2 linked regions of the Arabidopsis thaliana genome follow. The protein of the gene in region 2 interacts with the protein of the main gene of each other region in a pairwise test. Each region holds a gene or a part of one and is shown on either strand. Other genes may lie near its edges.

What was found.
Region 1: the proteins of DAU2 (region 2) and CHX9 interact in a protein complementation assay, tested with the Arabidopsis thaliana proteins (one large-scale study listed by BioGRID).

The regions. Positions count from the first base shown.
Region 1 is NC_003076.8:7,652,522-7,666,657, forward strand, and holds CHX9 (cation/H+ exchanger 9), read right to left. Parts: upstream 11,309-14,136; coding exon 11,060-11,308; intron 10,955-11,059; coding exon 10,479-10,954; intron 10,181-10,478; coding exon 9,631-10,180; intron 9,534-9,630; coding exon 8,406-9,533; downstream 1-8,405. Other genes in the region: HTB2 (histone B2), read right to left, coding at 1-46; AT5G22890 (C2H2 and C2HC zinc fingers superfamily protein), read right to left, coding at 1,020-2,141; CHX3 (cation/H+ exchanger 3), read left to right, coding at 4,703-4,969, 5,050-6,108, 6,205-7,347; AT5G22920 (CHY-type/CTCHY-type/RING-type Zinc finger protein), read left to right, coding at 12,622-12,698, 12,795-12,882, 13,010-13,069, 13,155-13,187, 13,273-13,350, 13,428-13,471, 13,577-13,617, 13,704-13,786 and 2 more. UniProt on the Arabidopsis thaliana protein: May operate as a cation/H(+) antiporter.
Region 2 is NC_003076.8:15,868,858-15,880,683, reverse strand, and holds DAU2 (transmembrane protein, putative (DUF679)), read right to left. Parts: upstream 5,560-11,826; 5' UTR 5,420-5,559; coding exon 4,685-5,419; 3' UTR 4,568-4,684; downstream 1-4,567. Other genes in the region: CDF2 (cycling DOF factor 2), read right to left, coding at 1-1,111, 1,531-1,764; AT5G39645 (Defensin-like (DEFL) family protein), read left to right, coding at 7,004-7,061, 7,165-7,292; AT5G39640 (Putative endonuclease or glycosyl hydrolase), read left to right, coding at 7,415-7,645; AT5G39630 (Vesicle transport v-SNARE family protein), read right to left, coding at 10,970-11,092, 11,435-11,605, 11,692-11,826. UniProt on the Arabidopsis thaliana protein: Involved in membrane remodeling.

The sequences.
Region 1 (14,136 bases), 8.2 Mb from region 2:
TCTCTGCCGGTTTCTTCTCCGCTGGTTTCTTATCTGCCTTCGCCATTTTCAAACTTTTCTAGGGAGTGAGTTTTTTTTGCTGTGATGGTTTTGATTTGATACTGTTATCTTCGAGAATTGTGTGTTTGTTTATATAAGAGAATAGGAAGAGATCTGATTAGTTAAGATACTGAAACGCGGATGCGTGACGTGGAGATATGAGTGCTGTTCGATGAAGGGTTTTGGTGAATGGATGGTTCAGATCTATTTTACTTTAATGCGCGAGTGATTTTAAATTTCTTTTTCGAAATATTGAAAAATTCGAATTTTCTGTTGCGCTTTTTGTTATCCGCCATAAGTTCATGAAGCGGCAAAGAGAGAAAAAGTTTTTGGCGTGGATAGCTGACGTGGTTACTTTTGATCCGTCTACCAATGAACGGCTATGATTTTACCGTATCTACAAAGTTGGTAACAACTTTTTCCTATCTAACATTTTTATGGAAATGAAGAACTAATGCATAATTATAAGTTTTCAACTCTTTCAAAATTCTTCAAAAATAACCAACTTTTTATAGATACAAATTTTGAATTTCTCTAAAATACAAACATTTAGTTCAGCTTAATAAGTTGGACTCATCTTAATAAGTTAATATGTAGTTGTATTTTAACAGAGTTAACGATGTTTCTTATATTTTCTTAAAATTCTGCATGATATATCAATAGATAGTTGTTGATTAATCTGAGAAGTGAGAGACGTATTAAACATAAATTTTGATTCTCACTGATTCCACATATTTCTGAGATTAGTGAAAATCTATGCATGATACCCATCAGAACCAAAATCATTTGTAACATTAACGTTAATGCACAAGTCACTATGATACAAATCTGTATATTATCTTATCTTTGTGACATTAATTTAGAGAATATAGAAACTCGTGAAAAGAAAAAGAACAAAAAAAAGAGAGGGAGTGAATGCACGTGTCATTTCTTGAGATATCGTCTATGAAATCTCTATAGACCTCAAACTTCCTATGTTCTTACTTTAGGGTGATTGTCGGCGGCTTGGACGACCCATGTGCCGGTACGTGGCCCAAAAACAAAGAAACGTGGCTCATCAGCTTGTCTTTCCTAGAAAATTTAGTCCCACAAGAGCAAACCCACTTTATATCCCCACAATGCTTCTCGTGTGTCCTAAGATCAGACAGAACCGAGAAATGCTTCACACTACATCTCCTGCACATATACATTTTGGGACAATGACTCCTCTTGTAATGATTCTTGGCGCAAATCACAGATTTCAACGGTTGAAACTTCTCGTGCCTCTGGTTCCATCTACACCCGTGTTGAGGACAGGAGTAGTAATGTTTCTTTAACGAGTATCCTCCTTTCTTGTCTTGGCTCGTTGGGCTGATCAAGGCCTCACGTGTCTTGTACTCATCCCCGTGCGCTCTCATGTGCATCCTTAGATTAGCGTCTCTCTTAAACCCTTTCCCACAAATCTGGCAGTAATGCGTGTATTTCGCTAGTAGGTCCGCTACGTCTAGCTCCAGTATATCGTAGCTCCCGGAACTTGGTTTAGAACGATGTTTATCTTTTTTAGGGTTTATGGTTTCGGTGTTGTACCAATCAAGATTCTGGTCGGGAAACGAGATCTGCCCTCTTTCTTGGACACCAAAAAGGTTGGTCGACTCTTGCACAAAATCATGACCCGGGTCGGTTTCTTGTCGGGAAAACTCCAAAACCATTGCATCTACGGTTTGATCATTATCGATATCGTTGTTGTTGTTGTTAGATCCGATTTGGAGTTGTTGGCAAGTATATAACATGGATGAAGCAGCCGTGATGATCTCTTGAACCAAACTTCCGATGTTAGCCACGGCCAAAGACGTTGACCCCGAGGATTGGTTAATGTTATTAGTAGATACCATGTAGAAGCTGACCAGAGATTGGATCTGATGGACTTTTTCATGTAAGGTAGATAGATTGTATAGAAGAGAGAGTGAAACGTCGTCGTCTTCCATTGATTTCGTCCCGGTCGTGGTCACGGGATTAACATAGATTTGTTTTGAGGAAGTACTGGTCTCCCCGGAGAAGCTAGAGATTGATCCTTCAACTTTCTTTGCAATATGCTCATCTCGATTCATCATATGTATATGCATGTATATGAAGAATCTAGCTTGAGTTTTGTTCTTATATTTTCTTTGGATTTTGTTGAATCTTTAAATTCTTTGTGGTATATTTGTTTCATATATATGCCAGACGGTCCAGACTCTAGAGAGATGCAATGAAGAAGACACCCTACCCTCTACCGTATAAAATACTCGCGAGTTGTGACATACATTCACACAAAATAACACACACAAACAAATACATGTCACACATATAGTAATTTATTTTTTCGTTTCACTTTATCAAACATCTTAAAATCGGAAAGATTATACTAAATTGAGTAAAATTTGAAAACTAAGCTATTGAACCTAACTATATTTTGAACCTTGCAGTTTATTAGTGATTTAAAATCCAAAAGATATTTTGATCCAAACAAAATATTGTAATTAAAAAAAAAAACATTCTAATTGATATATTATGTCAAGTAATGTTTTTTTTTCTTAATTTAGAAGTTAGAATTTAAGAATTTTATGTTTTCTAGAGACGGGACACACGTTAGGTTACATTCATCTGTTTTAGAAAGAAAAAAAAAATTAGCGGGGGTTGATGAACCCTTAATCAACCATTGGGCCAAAGGACTTCCACAACTATATTTGTTTATGTTTATGTTTGATTTTATTTAAAATCAGATATTTAATTAAAGATTTACAAAGATGTTTTAAATTAAAAAGACATCTAGACGTTTATAAATATACGATACATAGAAGTTGTAAATAATGTCTTTTTGTCAATAATGACAATAATATGCAATATACAGATTTTGATGAACCCGGATGCTGGCAAGAGAAAACGCTAGAAAAGTTCAATAGACTAAGTTTTTGTCGTCATGAATGATGTTTTTTCTTCTCTCTAAATGCATTTGTCATGTATATGAATTATTTACATTAGGTTGAAAATGGAATAATAGAAGTATGTGATGTGGTTAGGATTAACTTGGAAGTCAACTCGAGATAGCAAAAGCGACCATCCCCACATAAATCCTCCCCCGGATGAAACCTTAACTAGACTTTGTCAGCTACATCTTATGAGTTAAATAAACGAAGAAGGTCAATCCCGATGTAATTAAAGAATGATTAACCTAAGTCAAGTGTTAGTGTTCTTTCATGGCCTTTTCTTGTATTGTTCTATATACAATACGTTCTGTAACTGTCAAGCTCACATCTATATAATATCTTATGTCAAATCCAATCCTTTAAAAAAAAAGTTGCGACTACATTCAGTTCTCTTATCTGCTTACATGCACACATATTTTTTTTTCTTTTCATGCACACATATTTGTACACGCGTGCATATACGATTATATGATTGGATCTTACATGAAATGTTTATAATGTGGCCATCGGCATGAGTTGCAATTATATTAAATAAATATTGCTTATGCGTGCTCATTTTTTAATTTCGGAAGAAGTAGTTTTGTTGGTGACTAATCAAAATTTCTATGCAGTGATGATGATATGGGTGATCAATGCTGTTTCTTGGGGTTAGCTTTGGTGAGTTACGTTACTTTTTGTCCTTTAGAAGAAAAAAATGCCACGTTAGTTAACGCTTTTTAAAAAAAAGAAGTTGCTGCTACCATTACAGTGACAGTGTATTCCACATGCGATTCTAGTAGAGTTTTTTAGTTCTTTTTGCTGGGAACCAACCTGCAAACCACATTTGTAAATAAGACGTTATTAAACCAGACTTCACTAATATAGGCCAGTCGAACTGGCTCACCACAACATGGGAATGTAGGATGACATGAATCTCTGAATTACAAATGTCATGTATATAATTACCCTCAGTTTTAAAATGCTACACCAAACAAATTCAACTCAACTACTTTAATTTAGTTTTCAAGTTTCCAATATGTGACCAAAAAGTGAAAGCTAACAAAAACAAGACCTTTGCGTAGCTGGGAGTTCGAACTCCACTTTCCCTATTATTACGTACTTTGTCAAATAAAAAAAGAAAATATAAAGAAAAAAAATACACAAATTTCTTTTGGAAAAATTATGCTTGCTACCCAAGCTAACTATTTTTGAATGAGTTTTAAATTGCAATTTCAAATTCCTCCAATCTGATCACCGGGACGTGAGCAAGAACACGGGATCGGAGATGATTACTCGTCATCATAATCTGATGATCCATCGGAATCACCGGAGAAATAGAGGCGGCACGTGGTATCGCCAGAAGTTGGATTGTAATTTCTTTCTTCATGACCTTTGGCAATTTGTCTGTTGTAGTTTGCTCAATTACCCGTAAATTAGCAGAATTAAGTTGTAACCTGTAAAAACTAACAGTAATCAGACAATCCTTTAAAATATATATATTTATGTCGCCGGCCAAAACCTGTTTCTTGTTGGTAACGTTTGCCCATTCATTATTTACTATTATTAGGGTTTTAAAACTCAGATGATCACTTGTTCTTTAGATTCTGTTACCTAAACAGTAAAAGAAGAATTAATTCATATAAAAGATCCAAATCCTTGTAATCCTTCTCCGATAACACATTGCTCCTGGAATCTTTTTTTTTTTTTAATTTGTTTCATTTGAGGGTTCATCATCATCAATGGAGGTGTTTGGAGATAATAAGATGTTTTACATGAGAGACACATGGAGAGAAGGAACCATGATTTGTGACGTCTTACCTATCAACCCTAGCTCCAATGGTGTTTGGCCGCAACAAAAATTCTCAGATCCTAACATCAATGTTCATTTCTGGAATTACGCGTTTCCACACTTGCAAATGATATTTCTCATCATCTCTTTCTTATGGCAATTCTTACATTTCTTCCTTCGACGTCTTGGCATGATACGTTTCACTTCTCATATGCTTGTAAGTAATCGAAAATCTCGATTTCGTTTTCTTGTTATCTGGATTTGAAATTTGAGGTTTGTGTTGATCTTTGTTTGTAGACTGGTGTTCTTTTAAGCAAGTCTTTTCTAAAGGAGAATTCAGCAGCGAGAAGATTCTTTTCTACAGAGGATTACAAAGAGATTGTGTTTAGTCTCACTGCTGCTTGTTCTTACATGATGTTCTGGTTCTTGATGGGAGTTAAAATGGACACGGGTTTGATCCGAACCACAGGAAGAAAAGCTATCACCATTGGGCTCTCCTCTGTTTTACTTTCGACGTTAGTTTGTTCCGTTATCTTCTTCGGAAACTTAAGGGACGTTGGAACGAAAAACTCAGACCATACTCTCAATTCATTAGAGTATGTTGTGATTTACTCAATCCAATGTCTTTCTTCTTTCCCCGTTGTTGGAAACCTTCTCTTTGAGCTCAGGCTACAAAACTCAGAGCTTGGTCGTCTAGCGATATCTTCTGCTGTGATAAGTGATTTCAGCACCTCAATTCTCGCTTCCGTTCTCATATTTATGAAGGAGCTCAAGGACGAACAAACACGGCTCGGGAGTGTGTTTATAGGTGATGTTATTGCAGGGAATCGTCCTTTGATGCGAGCAGGGATAGTGGTTCTCTTTGTATGTATTGCCATCTATGTTTTCAGACCGTTAATGTTCTACATTATTAAACAAACACCTTCCGGTCGTCCCGTCAAGGCAATCTACTTAAGTACAATAATTGTTATGGTTTCTGGTTCAGCCATTCTTGCCAATTGGTGCAAGCAATCTATTTTCATGGGACCTTTCATCTTAGGTCTTGCTGTTCCTCATGGTCCTCCTTTAGGTTCTGCGATCATTCAGAAGTATGAGTCGGCTATATTCGGAACTTTTCTTCCGTTTTTCATTGCTTCATCTTCCACGGAGATCGATATTTCGGCTTTATTTGGTTGGGAAGGTCTCAATGGTATTATACTCATCATGGTAACATCTTTTGTCGTCAAGTTCATCTTTACTACTGTTCCTGCTTTGTTCTATGGTATGCCGATGGAAGATTGCTTCGCTCTATCTCTTATCATGTCGTTTAAAGGCATCTTCGAGCTCGGTGCCTACGCCTTGGCCTACCAAAGAGGGGTATGTAATTATGTATACACACATAATGAAGTTCATAATCATAATTAATCATTTCAATACAAAGTTTATCTTATGTTTATGCTTTGAACATTGCAGTCTGTCCGTCCCGAGACCTTCACTGTGGCGTGTCTTTACATAACGTTGAACTCCGCAATCATTCCTCCGATCTTGCGGTACTTATACGATCCTTCGAGGATGTACGCGGGGTACGAGAAGCGGAATATGCAGCATTTGAAACCAAACTCTGAGCTAAGGATTCTGTCTTGCATTTACAGAACTGATGATATAAGTCCAATGATTAATCTTCTTGAAGCTATTTGTCCGTCCCGGGAATCTCCTGTAGCTACCTACGTTCTCCACTTGATGGAGCTTGTAGGACAAGCAAATCCGATCTTCATTTCACATAAATTGCAAACTCGCAGAACAGAGGAGACGTCTTATTCAAACAATGTACTTGTCTCCTTTGAAAAGTTTCGTAAAGATTTCTATGGTTCGGTCTTCGTAAGCACCTACACGGCTTTATCTATGCCCGATACGATGCACGGAGATATATGTATGCTTGCTCTCAACAACACTACTTCTCTCATACTCCTTCCTTTTCACCAGACTTGGTCTGCTGACGGATCAGCTCTTATCTCTAACAATAACATGATCCGGAACCTTAACAAGAGCGTTCTCGACGTGGCACCTTGTTCTGTCGGAGTCTTTGTATACCGAAGCAGTTCCGGACGGAAAAACATCAGTTCCGGACGGAAAACCATCAATGGCACAGTTCCAAACTTATCATCTTACAATATTTGTATGATCTTCCTAGGCGGTAAAGACGATAGAGAAGCAGTGACACTTGCTACACGAATGGCCCGTGACCCAAGGATCAATATAACCATTGTTCGACTGATCACTACCGATGAGAAAGCACGAGAGAACACGGTGTGGGATAAAATGCTTGACGATGAACTTCTTAGAGACGTGAAAAGCAATACATTAGTAGACATTTTCTACTCGGAGAAAGCGATTGAAGACGCGGCTGAAACATCGAGTTTGCTAAGATCGATGGTAAGCGATTTCGATATGTTCATAGTGGGAAGAGGGAACGGAAGGACGAGTGTGTTCACAGAAGGGCTTGAGGAATGGAGTGAGTTTAAGGAGCTTGGTATTATTGGAGATTTATTGACTTCACAGGATTTTAATTGCCAAGCTTCTGTTTTGGTTATACAACAACAACAGCTAATGATTTAGGTTCTTATATACGTACATAATCATTTTGCAATTTTACCATTCTTTTCATTATAGACTTAGAAATTTAATTGTAAGAAGAATATTTTTTTTGTAAATTTTATTTAGACCATTCAAATGTAACTTTTTGGAAAATCCACTTAGCCGATCAGTTCATCACAAATATAATCGCATAAGGTTTTGCGATCAACAACTATATTAATCTTTATATTTATAGAAAATCATGTTTATATTAACACTAAAACAACATAGAGGGAAATAGAGAAACTGGTCAAGATCGAACATATTTATTTAGGTTAAAATAGTTTGAAATTTCATGTTGAACAATGTAAGAAATCGAAGTAAAATACAAGACATTTTCACTTATTTTTCGATCAGTTTCACTGAAACCTTTGTTGTGCTTGAGCTCGGATGAACAATGGAGATATCTCACGTTTGAATTTTTCTCTTACATAATCTGTGTTTTAGAAATCATTGGATATTCATAGGAGTGGTTATAGAACTACATTGTGCACATTACTCGTATTTTTTTTCATTAAAGCTCAGGTGAAATTTTCAATTTTGTTATTTATTTATTATTATTATTATTATTTTTTTAATTTTTTAATTTTTTAGCAGTAGTGTTTGCTTCAACAAAGCGCCAAGATTTAGATATTTGGAATAATTCTGTGCAAATTAACTGTGCTAAGTAGTACGAAATGGATTATTTGCATACATTTAAAATACAATTTTAATGAACACTAAATTTAGATAAATCAATAATTAACTGGCTTATCAATGTATTCCAACTGCGTCAAACTCATCTTTGTATACTATGTTAGAGCAGAACAACTCATCTCTCAAAAATACCGGATTATTGATTTGATATATACTATTTTAGGAACAATATATGCATGAGTTTCTTACTCAAAAACAATTTGGTAATGAATGGATTAACCAATGTTGTTTAGATCAATTATATTAAATCTATTTCCACGTCAAATGTAAATTCTAACATTTACCCATGATGCGAGTATAATTCAATTTTTTTTTTTGAGATCATTCACTGACATATGTTACACTCATCCATGTTGTTGTTGTTGTTGAACTACTAAAACAGAAACCCTAGCTCTTAAATCTTTGGATGCAAGCAAATCTCCGATGACTCCTAACTCCGGAAGCTCCATCCACTGTGCCAACCCTGTTAAGTCCAGCGAATAATCTTCGTGATCTCTTCCTACAATCATCAAATCATGGTCTTCCGCCACCAATCTAACGGTGGTGGCCACCGCAGGTCCACCGTTGACTACCTTCTCCATATAGTTAAAATTGTTGGCCAATGAATATGTCGCTTTCAAATCATTCAAGACCTCGTCGTCAACAAGGTAATCCCAATTCTTGGACTTATCTAGTTCTTGACCAGACAAAAATCTGATAACAGTAAGACACACTCTCGAGTTCTGTCCCATCCATTTCGCAAGGGAAAGCGCCTCACGATCATCTTTACCACCAATGAAGATCACACCAACGTTAATGATACTGTTGGTCTTTTTCTTACCTTTATTATATCCTCGGTAGTTAAGTATGCCGACAGAACATGGAGCGAGGTCAAGGAGAGATTCATTAACACGTCTGATCATAATATCGTCTGATTCATATTCTCCATCGGGTGACCATTTTCGTCCCGAAGGGACAATGATCATCGATGTGAGGTGGTCTAAAGCAAGATTGCAAATGTCTTGATCCATTAGGTTCTCATGAGAATAAGCTGTGAAGGAACTAACAGTGGTAGATTCCCAATTCTCTTGTTGAAACTCGGTGAACGCGAGCATCATTGTTTGTATGTAAGAGTTTTGAAGCAACCGCGCTTTAGACCGCTTGTCATGAGGTATCAAGATGGGAAACGTACGTCCTGCGAGTTTCACTAGGTGTAACGCCGTGACAGCAATGACTCCTCTGTCTTTGTTATCGTTGTTTAGCGGCGAGGAAAGCAATTCAAGTAGCGAGATCGCACCTGAGATGTTGTCAGGCTTGTGCAAACAAGTTAGAATCTTGAGATCTGAGTTTGTTTTAAGATGCATAATGTCTCTCTTGACATATCCAATATACTTCCTCTTTGGATCATATAGTGCTTTTATAATCGTAGGCAAAATCCCCGCGTTCAATAGCACGTAAATAATCATGACCGTGTACGTTGCTCGCGACAAATTCTGTTAAAGAAAACAAAAAACATTCAACCATTAATTCAAAACCATATGATGCAATATATATACATGTAGAGTGTAGGTTAGATGAAGATTATTTTACCCTTCTTCTTAAGGCGACATCGAAGAAGCATAAGTCAACAAAACCCTTATAGTTCATGATAGTGGCGATGATAACGGATTCTCTAGTAGGTAACTCGCAGAAGATCAAGCAAGGTACAAAAGAGGCAGTCCATTTCACTACCACTGTAAGACCCAGTAGAAGTATGTTAAAGGAAATGTCATCGAACGAATACAATGCTCTTACAACGTCAGCTTTCATCGCCATGACCGCGATTGAAATAGGGAAAAATATGTTTGTAACCAAGCTCTCGAACCTTGCCTCTAACGCAGATCCCAGAGGCGGACCGTCTGGGATTGCCAACCCCACCAATAAAGCTCCTAGAATGTACATTTGGTTGAAAACACTTAAGTATATACTCGCGGCGATTGCGGTCAGGATTGTTACGTATAAGTAGACTTTCGGTACGGGCTTGCCTTCTGGGGTCATGTCCACTATTCGTTGTGCCATTGGCTTGAAGATGAATAGGATCACAAGGACTAAGATGATCAATGCCACTATGTCGCGGTTGGCTATTCCGGGCGATACATACCTGCAGACCGTTTCAAACTATTATAGCAAATAATGTTCGTTAGATAGTAGATATACATTACTAATCAAACACTCCGGTGCCGTCTATTGTGTAGATAACAATTAGTATTGCTTTATAGACAATAAAACGGTAACTTTTCGTTGATCAAACTTTTAACCAGTTTTAGAGCATTATATATATTGCTTTAGGTCTCCGGATTTGTAGACTTTGATTACTACAAAAGTATATTTAATGAGGTAAGTAGTTTTGTATGCAAATGCACCAATTAGATTCCTAAATTAATCGACGTCTTACATACCTGTATGTTCCAACGTAGGAGATGCATACTAGAGTGAGAAATCCAAGGAAATCGCTGACGGCGGCTGTAGATATGGCGATGCGGCCGAGCTCGGAGTTTGACATCTTCAGCTCATATACGAGGTGGGTTATGACCGGTAACAGCGTTACTGCTTGAATCGATACAATCACGGAGCGTTCTGTTGGGGCTAGCCTCAGAGGCATATAAAGAGGGTCGACCTTGTCGAGACGGAAGTTTCTGAAGGCTAACCCGCTGATCATAGTCACGAAAAAGGACGAAACCGCGATTACTATCGGACGTTTACCGATTTGATACACCGCTCTCTTGTTGGTCTTCACGCCCATTAAGAACGTGAACATTACCAACCCAAGCCTGGCCACACCTTCCAACGCTACGTTTCCGGGGATGTCTAACGATAATCGGTCCGATGAATACTCCAGAAGATCAAGCAGCTGAGGTCCAAGAATCAAACCAGCCTAGTTCAAAAAAAAAAAAAAATTGTTACTTGCAGTACAAGAAACCAAGCGTTTGGTACTTGCGATACAAGAAATTGACAGTTGTGGACGTTTTTCTTAACTTACAAGTATGTTGGAGACGAACCGTGGTATGCCAATACGTCTGAGGAACATATGAGATAAGACGATGCAAACGAAGATGAGAATGATCTGCAGCTCAAGGAGAGGCAATGCATATCCGAAGATAACAGTAGGAGTTTCATATTTTTCCATGATTCCATAAGAAGAGATGTTGAAAAAAGTAGCTCCGTAACAAATTTCAGCTTTGCTATGAGGCGGTGAAGGCCCAGGAACTAGTGCTTGAGAATCGGTCATGATGATGACGAAGATATGCTTTTGTCAAACTTGTAAAAGATCGATTTCGTTTTTTTTCGCTGATAATTTATTCTTAACGTCAAAATATTCAACAACGTAACGGTTTGTTTTAAAAAAAAAACAGTTGCTGTTGTTTATCAAATAGTTGGCGCCCCCCTTTGACTAGTACTTTTTGGTTGCGAAATAATTTTGTTACGTTTTGGTCAAACTTATCAACAAATAAATGATGATACTTAGGCACTCTAATCCTTTCCTAAAACTTGACCATTTTGGTTGACCAAAAAAAGAAAAAGAAACTAACCCATTTTACCAAATACTTATTTTATAACAAACCCAAAAGATAAGCCCAATCTAAGCCCATTGAAGATCAAATATTGAGTTGACACTACCTACTAATCTAACTCAAGAACTTAGCCCACAACTTTAACACTACTAATATCAAACTTCAAAAAAAAAAAAAAGTATTCCATAGTGTGTTTTAGTAGAATTTATAAAAGAGTGGACCCAAAAAATTGAGTCATCAAGTTGGAGGACATATCCATTATCCAATCCTATCCTGTTTTCTGCTTTTTAAAAACAAGACATGACATATTGACATTGACCCACACACCACAAAAATTTGTTCTTAATGACCCGCCAAGTCGCCAACTGAATTGAATCTTAAACCGAGTGTTTCATATGTTATTAACTTTCACTTAGTACATTAAACTTTTTCTAATAGAATATAAAAAAATAACTTTCTTTTTAATGCATAATTACAAGTAAGATATTTTTTTTAACAAAAGTCCGACAACGAATCTCTTTTCACTTTTCATTTTCAATTTTTTTTACCTCTAGTTTTCTCATTAATGTTGATGAAATTTGGCTCTGACTAATTAACTATTATGTATTTTATTTAAAATTAACTATTATGTAATTTTTTATTATTTAAAATTATGTATTCTGCTAATGAATTCCAATTAGGAGTAAACCATAAACAAGTGGAAAAATATTTCTGTTTATTAAGAAGAAAATTTATATTTAGCAAAAAAAACAAAAACGTTAAAACCTTTTTAATAATGAGTATGGGATTTGTTGATTAGGCAAAATAAAAAATCTGGCGTGTTGCTGAGTCATCACTCATCTTCATATAAATAAATATCATCAACATGATTGCTTTTTCATCTCTGCAACTTCCTCTGTTTCTGATTACCAAACGTCGTCAATACATTTCTTCAAATTACGTTTCTTTTATTCTTTCGTTACTCTCAACAAATTTTGATATCTGATTGGTGTTGATTCCAAGTAAGAAAGATCAAAACTTTAGGTAAAGTATGGATATGGGTTTCCATGAAAATGAGCAAAATCAAGAATTTGCGAATCTAATGGAGATTGGATCTGGGCATTACGGGTAAATAACATCTTTTGAGTTTCTTTTGAGTTTTGAAGCTAAAGTTTCATTTTTTTTTTTTTTTGAATTTGATTATCCTTGTGTGTGTGTGTTTAGGTGTTCACATTATAGAAGACGATGCAAGATTAGAGCACCATGTTGTGATGAGATTTTTGATTGCAGACATTGCCACAACGAAGCTAAGGTAGAAAACTAATATTAAAGGAATAGTCTTTTTACTTCTCTGTCTTTGTAACTTGTGTGTGTGTGTGTGTTTTTGTGAAGAACAAGTTTTGGTTATAGATGTTAATGTGTTTTGTTTGTTTCAACAGGATTCTCTTCATATTGAACAGCATCATAGACATGAGCTTCCTCGACATGAAGTTTCAAAGGTTTTTAACTTTGAACATTCTGGTTTATGAACATTTTGATTCTGTTTATTCATTGTGATAACAATTTTGGTCTACTTTTTTTCAGGTCATATGCTCGCTTTGTGAGACAGAACAAGACGTGAGTATCTACATTTTAGATATACAAATTCTATTGGTAAATATGTTTATTGATGTAGAAGAGACCTGTAATTTGTTTTCTTCAGGTTCAGCAAAACTGCTCCAATTGTGGTGTATGTATGGGGAAGTACTTCTGTTCAAAATGCAAGTTCTTCGACGATGATGTAAGTTTTGTAATTGAGTTATTGCTCTTTCTATAGCTGGAATTAGTAGTAATGAGACTTAATATTGGTTGTTTCAGCTTTCCAAGAAGCAATATCACTGTGATGAGTGTGGGATTTGCAGGTATAGAAACTGGCATTGTGATTTTTGCTTACCTATTCAAAAAAGAATCTGTTGATTTTTGGTAACTAATTATTGATATGTTATCTCATGATGTTGGTTTAATAGGACCGGAGGAGAAGAAAACTTTTTCCATTGCAAAAGATGCCGTAAGAGACAAAACCTCATGTTCTTGTTTCTACAAATTCTCGTGCCTTTCTTTGTTTGGAGATCTTATTTTGTTTTCTTAAAACAGGATGTTGCTACTCCAAAATTATGGAGGACAAACACCAATGTGTTGAAGGCGCTATGCATCACAATTGCCCGGTTTGTTTTGAGGTATAAGAATCAGATTCACCCATTTCTTAATGCAACATAATGGTTTCTTACAATTGAACTTGATGTGGATGTATTTGTTCTCAGTATCTGTTTGATTCAACAAGAGATATCACTGTCCTACGATGTGGTCACACTATGCATCTAGAATGCACGAAAGATATGGGGCTACATAACCGGTAAAAGAACTCTCAAATCTTTTATGCAACCCATGAATGAAGTCATTGATAAACAAAGATTAAAAAAATTCTTGATGCTTTGTGTAGATACACATGCCCTGTATGCTCCAAATCCATATGTGACATGTCTAATCTGTGGAAGAAACTTGATGAAGAGGTGAGGTTTCTTGATCT
Region 2 (11,826 bases):
TAGAAAGAGCAGCAGGATTCGCTTGCAACTCCGGTCTTCTTCCCGGAAGTCTTCCTTCAGAAAGACTGCTTTTTTCTTTGGTTGATGATCTGAAAGCTCCGAAAGTATCCGCATTTTCGTCTTTTTTGATCCCTAATGTTTCCCAGATGGAACTTTTAGCAGCTTCCTCTGGATCATCAATCCTCAGCGTCTTGGGAACCCACAAGCATCTCTCGGGTTTGCTTTTCTCCCTACCAAGTGACTCGGTTTCATCAAAAGCGGTTCCTGGTTCAGCAGCGTTCTCGTCACGTGAATGTTTACCTAGTGTAGGAGAATTTGGATTGGAACCAGATGGTGAATTGGGTTGTGGCATCCATGTGAAGCTGTTCCATGCCCCCGGTGAAACCCCCGGGCAGCTCCAGTAAGCCGGTGGAGGGTAAAACGGTAAAATCGTCCACGAAACTCCGTTCCAAGCGTAAGGCCAAGTTGGTGGTGGTCCTGGAAAGCATGGAACTTTTGGTAACGGGCTGACTGTTCCAGCTTCTTCGTTTGTCTGGTTTAACGGAACCGTAATCTTCAAGCCTTCATTGGGTTCTTGCAATACAGTTTGTGTCTTCAACAATGACTTCTCAACAAGATTCAATCCAGAAGCCATAGATTCACAAAGCACAGAATCAGAGCCAAAAGTGAGAAGATTTGCACCATTAGGATGTTGAAGATCAGTTCTCGCCACCTTCTGCATAGCTTCCGCAGATGTTATACTTACATGACGGTTATAATGAGAAGCTGGACTCTTATTCTTACGTCTCCCAGCACCAACCGGAACATTCCTCATCGTTCCACCAGCTGTCCAATATCTCTGACATTTCTTGCAGAAATGGCGAGGTTGGTTAACATTATAGTTGTTGTAGTAACAGAACTTGGTTTCCATGCTGTTACATCGCGGACACGGTAGAATCTTATCAGGTTTCTTTAACTTCCCCTCTTGAGAGCAAGCAGTACCACCTGACTCTTCATTCGTCTTTGCAGCTTTTGTTGTTTCCGTTTTTTCAGTTATACCCGATGTAGTAGTAGTAACATCATTAGATTCATTCCTCAATGACTCTTCCTGACACTCACTATCTTTTTCTTCCTGAAGAATAACATAAGAACCAGAGTCAGATCGTTGTTATGTATCCTAATCAAACAAACAACAAACAGAAGCTAGAAGCTACAGGGATCAAAGACTTGATTCCAATCACAGAGAAGCTAAAACCCTGAAAAGTTCTTAAGCAAATCAATATCAAAACCTATAACCATCAATCAAAACCAAATGGAACTAATTAAGATCTCAAATCACTTTATAACAAAAGGAAAAAAAAAAACTCATTTGAGAATCCAGATTTACAATTTTCGAATCCCCAAAAGCTCTGAAAACCTAGTTCTTACATAAACAAACCAAAAATCATAACTTTATCAATAAAACTAAGATTTGACCAATCTAACATAAACCCATCAATCATTTCCATTTAACAAATCAAAATCAATTCACAAGTTCCAAAAAAAACTAACCTTTTTATCAGTCTCGCTCTCTCCTCCACCATCACCAACATCATCACCTTCTTCTCGTCCTAAACCGGAATCACCCATCTCTTCATCATCATCATCGCCGGTACACGAATCTGATAACCGAACAGGAATCTGAGTTTCGGTTAAAAATCCGGTATAGCTAGAAGAAGAATCAACAACACCAAGCTCAGGTAAAGGAATCGTCTTTCCAAAGAGCTTAATCGCCGGATCAGCCATGGTAATGATTCCTTTTCACTTCTTTCTTTCTTTCTTCTCCAGCGAGCAAAAAGCGGAAACTTTTTGAGAAGACAGAGGAAAAAAGTTCCAATTTTTATTTGTTTAAAAGAGAGAGAGAAACGACTGTCTTGTTATCGGTGGTTGTCTGAGTTTTGATTTCTAGATTTGTTAATTGGGAATGCTTTTTTGTCTTTGCGAGAGAGAAAGAAAAAAGATTTACAGATTTTGCTTTTTGGGTTTGTGATCTTTCGAATTGTACAACCTTTTGATTCGCCCAGAGTGCCACGTCATCACACGTGAGGATTCTTAGCCACAAGTTTATTTTTGTTTTTGTGGACTTTTTTTTTTCTCTTTTTCGTCTCTTTTTGGCTTTCTTTTTATTTTCCTTTTCAATCTGGTCAGTGGTCAGCACTTTTTTTTACTTTTACTTTTCTTTTCATTTTTAACTTTTTTATTTTAAAAGTCTGAATTTTTTTAAATTAATGTAAAAATGGTTGATTAAAGGCCATTTAACTTCTAATTTACATGTTTTCTAATTCTAACTATGTCAATAAATTTTTTGTTACCCACACATTTATTAAAAAATTACTGTTTATAAATGAAATTTCAGAAGAAAAAACAAACTTTAGAGTAACAAACAAAAAACATATTTAAAACCTTGAAACACTTTTTAATTCCTAGCTTTCTATAATAGCCATATCCATGGAAAACAATATCATGATTAGATTTGGAGAGAAAGAAAAAAAAAACATATTTATGAAAGAAACAAATTACATGATATAAACATTAATTTTCTCATTTTTAAAGAACTAAGAAGATCCAACAAAAAATTAAAATACTAAAAAAATATAGTATTTTATCCCCAAAAAAACCAATCTTTGTCTTCAAACAAATCCATTTTACAGATTGATACTCCTTGTGTTCTTTTTTCTTTGATTTTTTAGGAAAAACACAAATATTAAGAAAACATATTAAATGTTGCTTTTAAATGTATTATTCTTTGTAATTTATAATTTTCAATAACTCTAAACCAATGATATTCAATAATTCTTATTGAAGTTTACAATTTATCAATTATAACTAAATAAATATTGCATTGAAAACCAAAAAATCAATCTTTTTGAAACAATTTTTTTCTAGAAAATCAAAAAAAAAAAACAAAAGGAGTATGTGTTTTTTTACGCTGATAATAATAGTCATTTAGTTACAGTTTTAGCTTGGTACTTGTAGGAAAAATAAATTAACATTGAAATCACTTTCTTTTTTTTAAATGAAGCTACAAGTATTTACTATATAGTGGATCTTCAGTTTCTTTCCTCTTTTTTGCCTATATTCTTGTCATAAAATCTTCAACATATCAGAGATACGTGGCTGTAATAAGTCGATGTTAGAAGTTGTGGTTACTAATGAACGCCAAGTCGATTTGGAAAAAGTGCAATATTGTGGATAAGAAGTAATTGAACGCCAAGTCTAACATTGAAAAAGTGCAATTATGTGGATAAGTATATAGTACCTTTATTTCAGACCACCCCAAATCACAAATATATACTATATAATAAAGTTTTTTCATTACATTTATTATATTATCCCCACTTGGAGGCACGACTGATAAAGATTCTTAGGAAACATATTTTATCATTTTTCGACTGTTTCCCCGAACTAAAGAAACGTTATTTGAGTTTTGTTTTATTAAAATTAGCATTTTTCGTATAAAAACAAGTCTCGTTGATATATCACATGACTTGAACATTCTCGAATTAGAACTTGAATGAACTATATTGTAAAAAAAAAAAAAAAAAAGAACTTGAATGAACTATATTGTAAAAAAAAAAAAAAAAAGAACTTGAATGAACTATATTGTAAAAAAAAAAAAAAAAGAACTTGAATGAACTATATTGTAAAAGCTGGCTAAGTTCATTAAGTGACTCTTGGTGAAAACGGAGAATTTTTGCTTAATGAAAACATGGTGATCAAATTTCGAATATTACAATACAAGATTGATTCGAATAAATTTTCATATCGTTACTAGGAAAAACAAAACTCCATTTCATTATTGCTAATTGGGTAGACTTTTTATCTTCGTATTTATAGAAAATTTGTAGATCAAGTTATGTGTTTATGTAGATAATTTTACTGGCTAATCAATAAAATTAAGAATTTTCTTTTCATACTGATGAATTTTCTGACATGATATCAAAGCATAACCATATAAATACTAGTATTTTGGTTTGTTCGATCCCTCACATATTTGAAATTTCTTCTTCTTCTCTTTTTTCTTCTTTCTTCCAATCTTATATTTTGTCACTTTTCTTCTTGTTAGTCTTTGATAACGCTGGTTCTTTGTAGAATTGCGGGATATGAACAAGGGACCTTCTCGTCTTCTTGACTATGTTGATATCTTTGAAAGAGTGCCGAAACAAGGAACGTGTTATGAAAAAAAATCACTTTTTAATCCTATCAATTCATCAGAAACTGAAGACAATGAACACTTATACAACTCAGGGGTTGATAAGCTCAAATCTAAAGAACTCATAATCTAATCTAAATAAAATAGATACAAAACACAACGTGGAGATTAAGACTTTGGGCCAACATGACATGCCTACACAACAAAAAGGACAAAGCCCACGCGGACTCTTTTTTTTTTTTTTGGCCTCCACTACATCACGGACTCAATTGGTAATTAATTGCATAGTTTGAGATCTTAACAAAAAAAGTACTGCATTGAGGAAGCTTTTACTAACGTCATAATGTACTCCTCCTATCAAACAAGTCTAGATAGAATCAACACAACATTTTATTTAACAATACAATAGATAAAAATAGTAGAACATTGGAGTTTAAATCAGATAATCTAAATTACAAGGAAAATACGAAATAGATACTAAAACAAACCAAAAAACAGAAAAGTGAAAATAAATTAACCAGTCATGCAACCAACACCATATCGAGTGGTCGGAAAAACAAGAAACAAAGCACTACAAACAATTCCAACCATTATTGGAAAACTCTCCATAACTTGATCCATCTCTTTCTCTTTCCCTGGAAACAAACATCCCGTGACTCTTCGATCCGAAAACGCAATCGCCATAAACACCAAAACGCTCATCACTGCATGAACAAAGTCATTAACCGTCAACTTATACCTATCATCAGTCACCGGAATCTCTGCCTCCGCTATAACATCTCCGCCACCAAACTCTGGAGGCGGCGGTTTCATGAACACCGCGAGTCCACGTGGCGTCACGAAACCGTAGTAGATCTTCCCATCGGATGCTTTGAAACTGTCGGTAAAATGGAAGAAGAAACAAGACATTGCGCAAAGAAGCAAGAGGAGATGAATCATGAGTGTGTTGATTCCGTTACAGTCTCCGTCACGGTATATTGATGGAAGAACCATTTCGAACATCAAGAGTGTTCCTGTCGGAAGGAAGTTGACGAGCATTGATGTCTTCGAAACCGTTTTTTGAACTCCTTGCGCCACCATGCGACGTTTTCGACCTCTTCCTCCTCCAGCGGCGGCTCCTGACGGGAGGGAAGGCAATGAAGAGATTAAGACGGGTTTTGGTGAACGAGAAGGTGGTGATGGTGATGGTTTTTGCGGCGGAGTCGCCGTGTAAACTCTGATTCCGACGCTTTCCTCTGTTTTCTCCATTTTCGTGTGTTTCTCTCTGTTTTTTTCTTTTGTGATTTACCAGTTTTTCGTATGTTGTGTTAAATGGTTTAATGGAGAATGAGATTTTTGTATTTATTTTTCAAATCGCGGCGGTTATTGACGGTTATAGAGTTTCATCGGACGACGGTTTATGTGGGAAAGGTTTTAGAATTCTTGCTCTCTCTGATAACAAGCCACGTGGAACAAATGAAATTAGTGTAAATGGGCTTGAAGTCCATGAATTGGCCCAAGCCATGTGTTTCTTAAAGAAAATTTCCGCAAGTTATTATTCTATCAAATGAAACATTACTTAAGAGATGATGTATTTGTCTCTAATACTTTTCCGGTGGATTTGGGTAAAAGGAAATCCCTCATTTACGGACAAACCATATTTGGGCTTGATTAAAAAAAATTAGCTATGGCAGAACTGCCCTTTCAAGGAACAAGGCTTGGGCCACTTATGAAGCCCATTTATACGAATTTCATTGGTTCCACGGTTTTTGTTCATCAGTGAAAAAAAAAAAAAAAAACTAGCTAATAAACTTTAATTTTTATTTATATGTTCTTATCAGTTGATCCGATCTTTTCCGATAGAATCGCATCCAAGTGTTTTGGGGTGGATTTCTTAATTATCTGAACCATTTAAATCCATAGGATATAAAGTCTAGTTAAATCGATAAAGTTAATTAATAAAGAGATGCTAGAATCGAGTTGTTATTACAATTAGTTTCTAAAAACATGTGAAAATATGTTGATAAGTATACAAACACATATTAAAATTTCTATAAAATAATTTATAAAAGAAAAATCAGTTTAAGCATATTTTCGTAGTTACTTAGATACAACTTGAACAATATTTCAATCATGATTTTTTTTTTTTTTTTGCAACTACTGATATTCACTCCCTTAGACAAAGTCTAGGTTGAAAGCAAACAAAGAGTCCTTCGCAAGAGAATTAATTTGATAGACATTATATATAGTGAAGATCAACATTTTCCTTGGATTAAATGCGCGTAAATAGAATGTATATTTTTCTTTTTTTTCTATTAGAATCCCATATCAGTATTTGTTTTTTTTTAATTAGACAAATCTATTTATTGCCCATTGATTTTGGAATTTGTAGAAGATGTATGTTTGATATATTTCACAAAGAGATATTGAGCTTGTTTATATACAAGTAGTAGGCGCGTGAGCCTCAAGATTATGCAATAAGTATAATTTCCTAAACTAGTGAATTGGAATATTGAGAAATGAATGAGTATCTAATCATATCTCTTGACAGAATAAACCCTTAGAAAATAATTGTTTGCTTTACCTTGCAAATTACCAAATACGTTTATCTAAATAAGTCATGTATATCTTGTAATAATGTAGTCAAAGTTGGAATCTAATCTTTTTGGAAACATGTTTTTAATTTGGTTGACCAAATATATTGTATTCCTTACTAATGTTAATTTGAAGGATCGCTTGAATAGAGTTAGAGTTCTAATTATAAATACGAAACAACTCTTTCTTCATTCTCATTCAAATACAAAAATATCAAAAATTCGTAATCTTTTGATTTAACAAAGAAAAAAGAGAAAGATGGTTAAAACAAATGTTGTCTCTTTTGTTTTATTTGCTGCTATTGTGCTATGTATAGGTATGTTTTTTTTTTGTATTTAGTACTAAAGCGTTAATGTTTTGTCATGTAGTTTTGATGTTGGAAAATCAATTCACATGATATTTTTTTTGATTAAATGTAGGATCCATTCAAATAAATGGACAAAAACACATTGCACCGTGGATATCTGAAGAAAAATCGATATGTTGTAGAGAACATCCGAGTCTTGGAAGGTGTCTTCCAGGCATTGATGATAGGCCACGAATCTGAGCCCATATAAAACAGCCACTAGTATCGGTAAACATGTGTAACTTGCCCTATTCCGCCGCACCATCCATCGGTCGGTGATTTCATCTGAGTAAAGAAGCGATTTGTTAATCCGAATTTTGAGGATGACTGATATTTGTATGTTGAAAACCATGGATTCAAGAAATACGAACGAGGCGAAGCAGGAGCCAAAAACGATGGTGTGGTGGGACATCAACAGCTGTCCGGTTCCCGATGGTTATGATGCTAGAATGGTCGCTCACTCTATAGAATCGGAGTTGAAGAAGGCAGGCTACCCTGGTCCTCTCACAATCACTGCCATTGGCTACCTTAACACTCCTCTTATGTGTATGTAGCATTGTTCCAAATTTGTGCATTTGTATAGTACTGTTCAAATTATTTTTTAAAGACACCTGAATGATTCTTTAATTAAAATTTACGAATTTGGTAATTTATTTCTAATGTTATATATGTATTTCATTTTTATATTATTTTTGTTAACCACACATTAATTATATATAATAAAAAACTCCATTGGAGATTTCTTTTATACAACACGATATTTTTTTCCTACGTATGTACAAAGTTTCAAGTTAAATTCAGATGGTATAATCAGATAATTATTCCAATATGTAACATGCTCAAGTGAATACATATTTTACCATAAGAATACATATTAAACTCAATATGTAACATCATATTAATGTTTTAAACTCATTGGAGATGCTCTAAAGTTTTCAAAAGATTAATTAATAATATTTTTTCCAAAATTGAAAAGTAGGAGGGAAGGGGCCATTATTTACCATTTATAACTTCATCACTAGCCATTAGGATATTGCTATCGCATGATCAACATTTATTTAGTTGCAAATAGTGATTAATTTTAAAATTGACTAAATCATCTATTGATGGCAGTAGTTGCAGATTGCAATCGACGTGGGTCACAATCTTTTCAGTTTTATCCCAAAACCAAAATAAATCACTCTTTAATCTTCGAATTAAGACATTTAAATGTCGTAGATTGTTACATTTACTAATAAATCAATTATTTTATAGAACTTTAGAGAACAAGAAAATGACTATACTGATATGATTAGGATTCTGTGATTGGAAGGAATATCCACCTCAACCATCACAAGTAACGATCTGATCGATCCTATAACAACGTTTAATGCTTTATGAACTACCAAAAAGAAAAAAACAACAATACACGAGATTAAGAAATGTTATAATGTAGAAGATGTATATATAGTTATGTTTATTTAAATTTTGATCAGAAGATAGTCAAATCATTTTTTTTATTAACAATTGCATTACTATACTTTTTTTTTTTTTTTTTTTTTCGCCTTGCGTTACTATACTTTGAGAACCCGAAGCATTGCAATATACAACAGACGAAACAGCAGTGTTGCAGAAAAAGGATATACGATTGCTTTCTAGAGAAAATCATCCCAGTGAAACATGAACAGTGGACAAGGAGCTAAAACTAAAAGAGAAAGAAAAAATAATGTAGTTGTACTTTCTATTGGTTGAAATGTGAGTTATTAAATTAAATATGTAAAAGTGTACTTGTATGATAAAGACTTCACATAACTCGATAACTTATTCAAGTACACACTTCCTTCTTTATACCATTGTCAGTACTTCCCTTAAATAGTATACAAATGTACTATTTTTTCTTTTCAATTCTCCACTGGTTAGAGTTGTGTACCCATTTCAATGTTTATAAGAAAACATATCAGTTGAAATTCATTTTAGATTGCAAGAGAACTAAAGTTTGGTTTGTCTATCATATATCAGTATATTATGATTTATGACGTGACAAGTTTTTATTACAAGAGAAAAAAAAAGTTAAGTTTAGTAAAATAGAAGGTCATGAGTATACTAAAGATTAATTTTTTCGTTCTTTGGTTGGTTAGTTTGAATAATATTACAAAAACAACCAGAATAAATTCATGTGCATATATAGTATAATAGTAAAGTTCCTCATACGTGCATTATATATCCACCTTTCATTGCTGGGATTAAATCTATAATATAGCATGATTCATGCCTCTCTCGAGGAATTAGAATATAAACTTATAATATATTGAAGACTAATTATGAACATATAAAACTGTCATAAATGTACGAAGCTATTGGAAGACGAGCCTATGCAGCAAAGCCAAAACATTAATGAGCAATTGGAAACTGGTAGAAAGATCTATAAGTACGATACACCTTATACTTCAAGAGAGCAAGACAATGCCACATACAAACTTGAAAGATCTCTTCATCTTTTCTCCAAATGTTTTTTTTTCGTTTGCTATTTATCTCCACAATTCTTGGAACAAAAACTACATTCACAAACGAGAGAATTTTCACAACACCTCTTTTGCTCTCATTTTTTTTTTTTCGTCCATTATGAGTATTAATTATGGTTAGGGAATCTTACAGAATGAAAATGAAGGTGTGAATGGATTGTCTCATCTAAAGCCTTGAATGTGGGAAAAAGGCCATTGTTGTTCAGCCAAGGATGACTTGCCGGTAGCTTGTATTATGATTACTCTATATTCGATTTATATTATGGAGATGATGGTTTATATATATTTACTTATCTACATAGTTTTAGTTGATTTTTTTTCGTACGTAATATAATACGAAAAAGTATTTACTTATTTATATATGTGTGTTGGGGCAAGAAGTGTAACCAAGCTAGCCCGGCAAGTCATCTATGGCTATGCAACTGTCTCTTCCTCTCATTCTAGGCTTACGATGACACGTAAAAAATCCCAAATATCACTAATATGATATGAATATGGATGACTTATTTTATGGGGATGGTCTAATATAATGAGACTTAAACTTTATATTTTGAGTCATTATTTGTTGATATATCTATTTTGGTTTAAACAAATTCATTTTTTCTCAATTTTGTTTAAGTCCCTTAAACTATATGTGGATTTAATTTCTAGGTCTATTACATTATTGGTTGAGATGCTAAAGTAGAGCAAGTTTATAAAGTTTATTTATTTAGTTACTTATCTATTCATTTCTTTACATTACATATATACATTATATATGATTGTACAATGAAATGTTTCGTTCTAACTTTTTGTTCTTTCTTTATTAACAGCTAAGATATAGTACAATGTCAAAATTCAACTTCGGCTCAACATGTAGGAAAGTACTACTGTTATGTCGGTTAATATTATTATCGTTATTTATTTATTTATATGTTCTTATTCACATTGATCTGGTGAACCACCCATTTGTCATTTGAATACAAGATTTGACCACATATATAAATTGTTAAGAGTTTAGTTTGCTCCAATCTTATTTTATTTTTATTTCTAAAATAGAAATCTATTACATTTCTAAAATAGAAATCTATTGCGAATCGTGTCACAATCATATGAAATACTATTACTAATTTTGAAAACAAATTTTTGTGTAATAAAATATTTAGAAAAAAATATTCCAAAATAACGTATGGAAATTCTAGTTTTGGATCGGATATATGAAGAATAAACAAGAGTTATTTCATATTTGATTAACGAAGACAAGTCAAGAATGCAACAGGAAGCAAAAGAAAGAACTTCACACAAACAGATAATAGAAGAATAAATCCACGATTCACAAGTGAACACAACAATTGTTCAGAATCCGAGATCAGGTTAGGAAGCGCATGCATGCAAGGCTTACTTGACGAGTTTGAATAAAAAGTAAATGATAATTGGTGCAGTCACAGTAAAAAATTCCTTGATCTTTATGCTTCTCACGATTGACCGGCTCTCTTTGACAGTATCATCTATCTCATGAAGCTGTAACAACGTTATAACATTGGTTAAAGCAATACCAAGCAAAAAGATCATCTCAAACTATTTGAAAAGCTACTAGTTATTATATTCATACAAAAATAAATAATATATATATATATATATATCTAATGAATCAATGAATATGAAATAAGAGAAAAGTCTTGTTCAAATTCACTAGGTTTTAGCCCAGTCGATGATGTCGTAGATAAAGAAAAGTAGTCTACTTCATGGAAGATCCCTAAATAATCATTTTATTTGCCACTTAGTTCAATTCACCTTGTTGGGATATTGAAAAATATATAGTTTCAAAAACTAGAGGACCTATTAAGTAAGAGAAAAGTCTACCATAGCTTGGCTGTTTTGGAGAGACTCTTTCTGCCTTTGCAAGTTCTCGAGTATTGAAATACCAATATTTTCAGTCTCCAGCAGTTTTCTTTGACTGTCCTTAATCATCTCTCTAGTTCGAACCAAACCCTCGGTTGATTTCATCAATCTTGATCTTTGATCAGCTAAATCCTTAACTCAATAAAAATATACCAAAATGTGTTTTACTAGCAAGATCAAGATTATATTAGATTGAACAAAACCATGTCCTTACATACCGCCTTTTCAGCTTCAAGAACTTCTTCTCGAGTAGTAACTTTCAAGTTTTCAGATGTGTTCCTCTTGATTTCATTTCTCAATCTTTTTAGACTCGATTTGGATTCCTTTAATTTTTCAAGAAGGATGGATTTGAT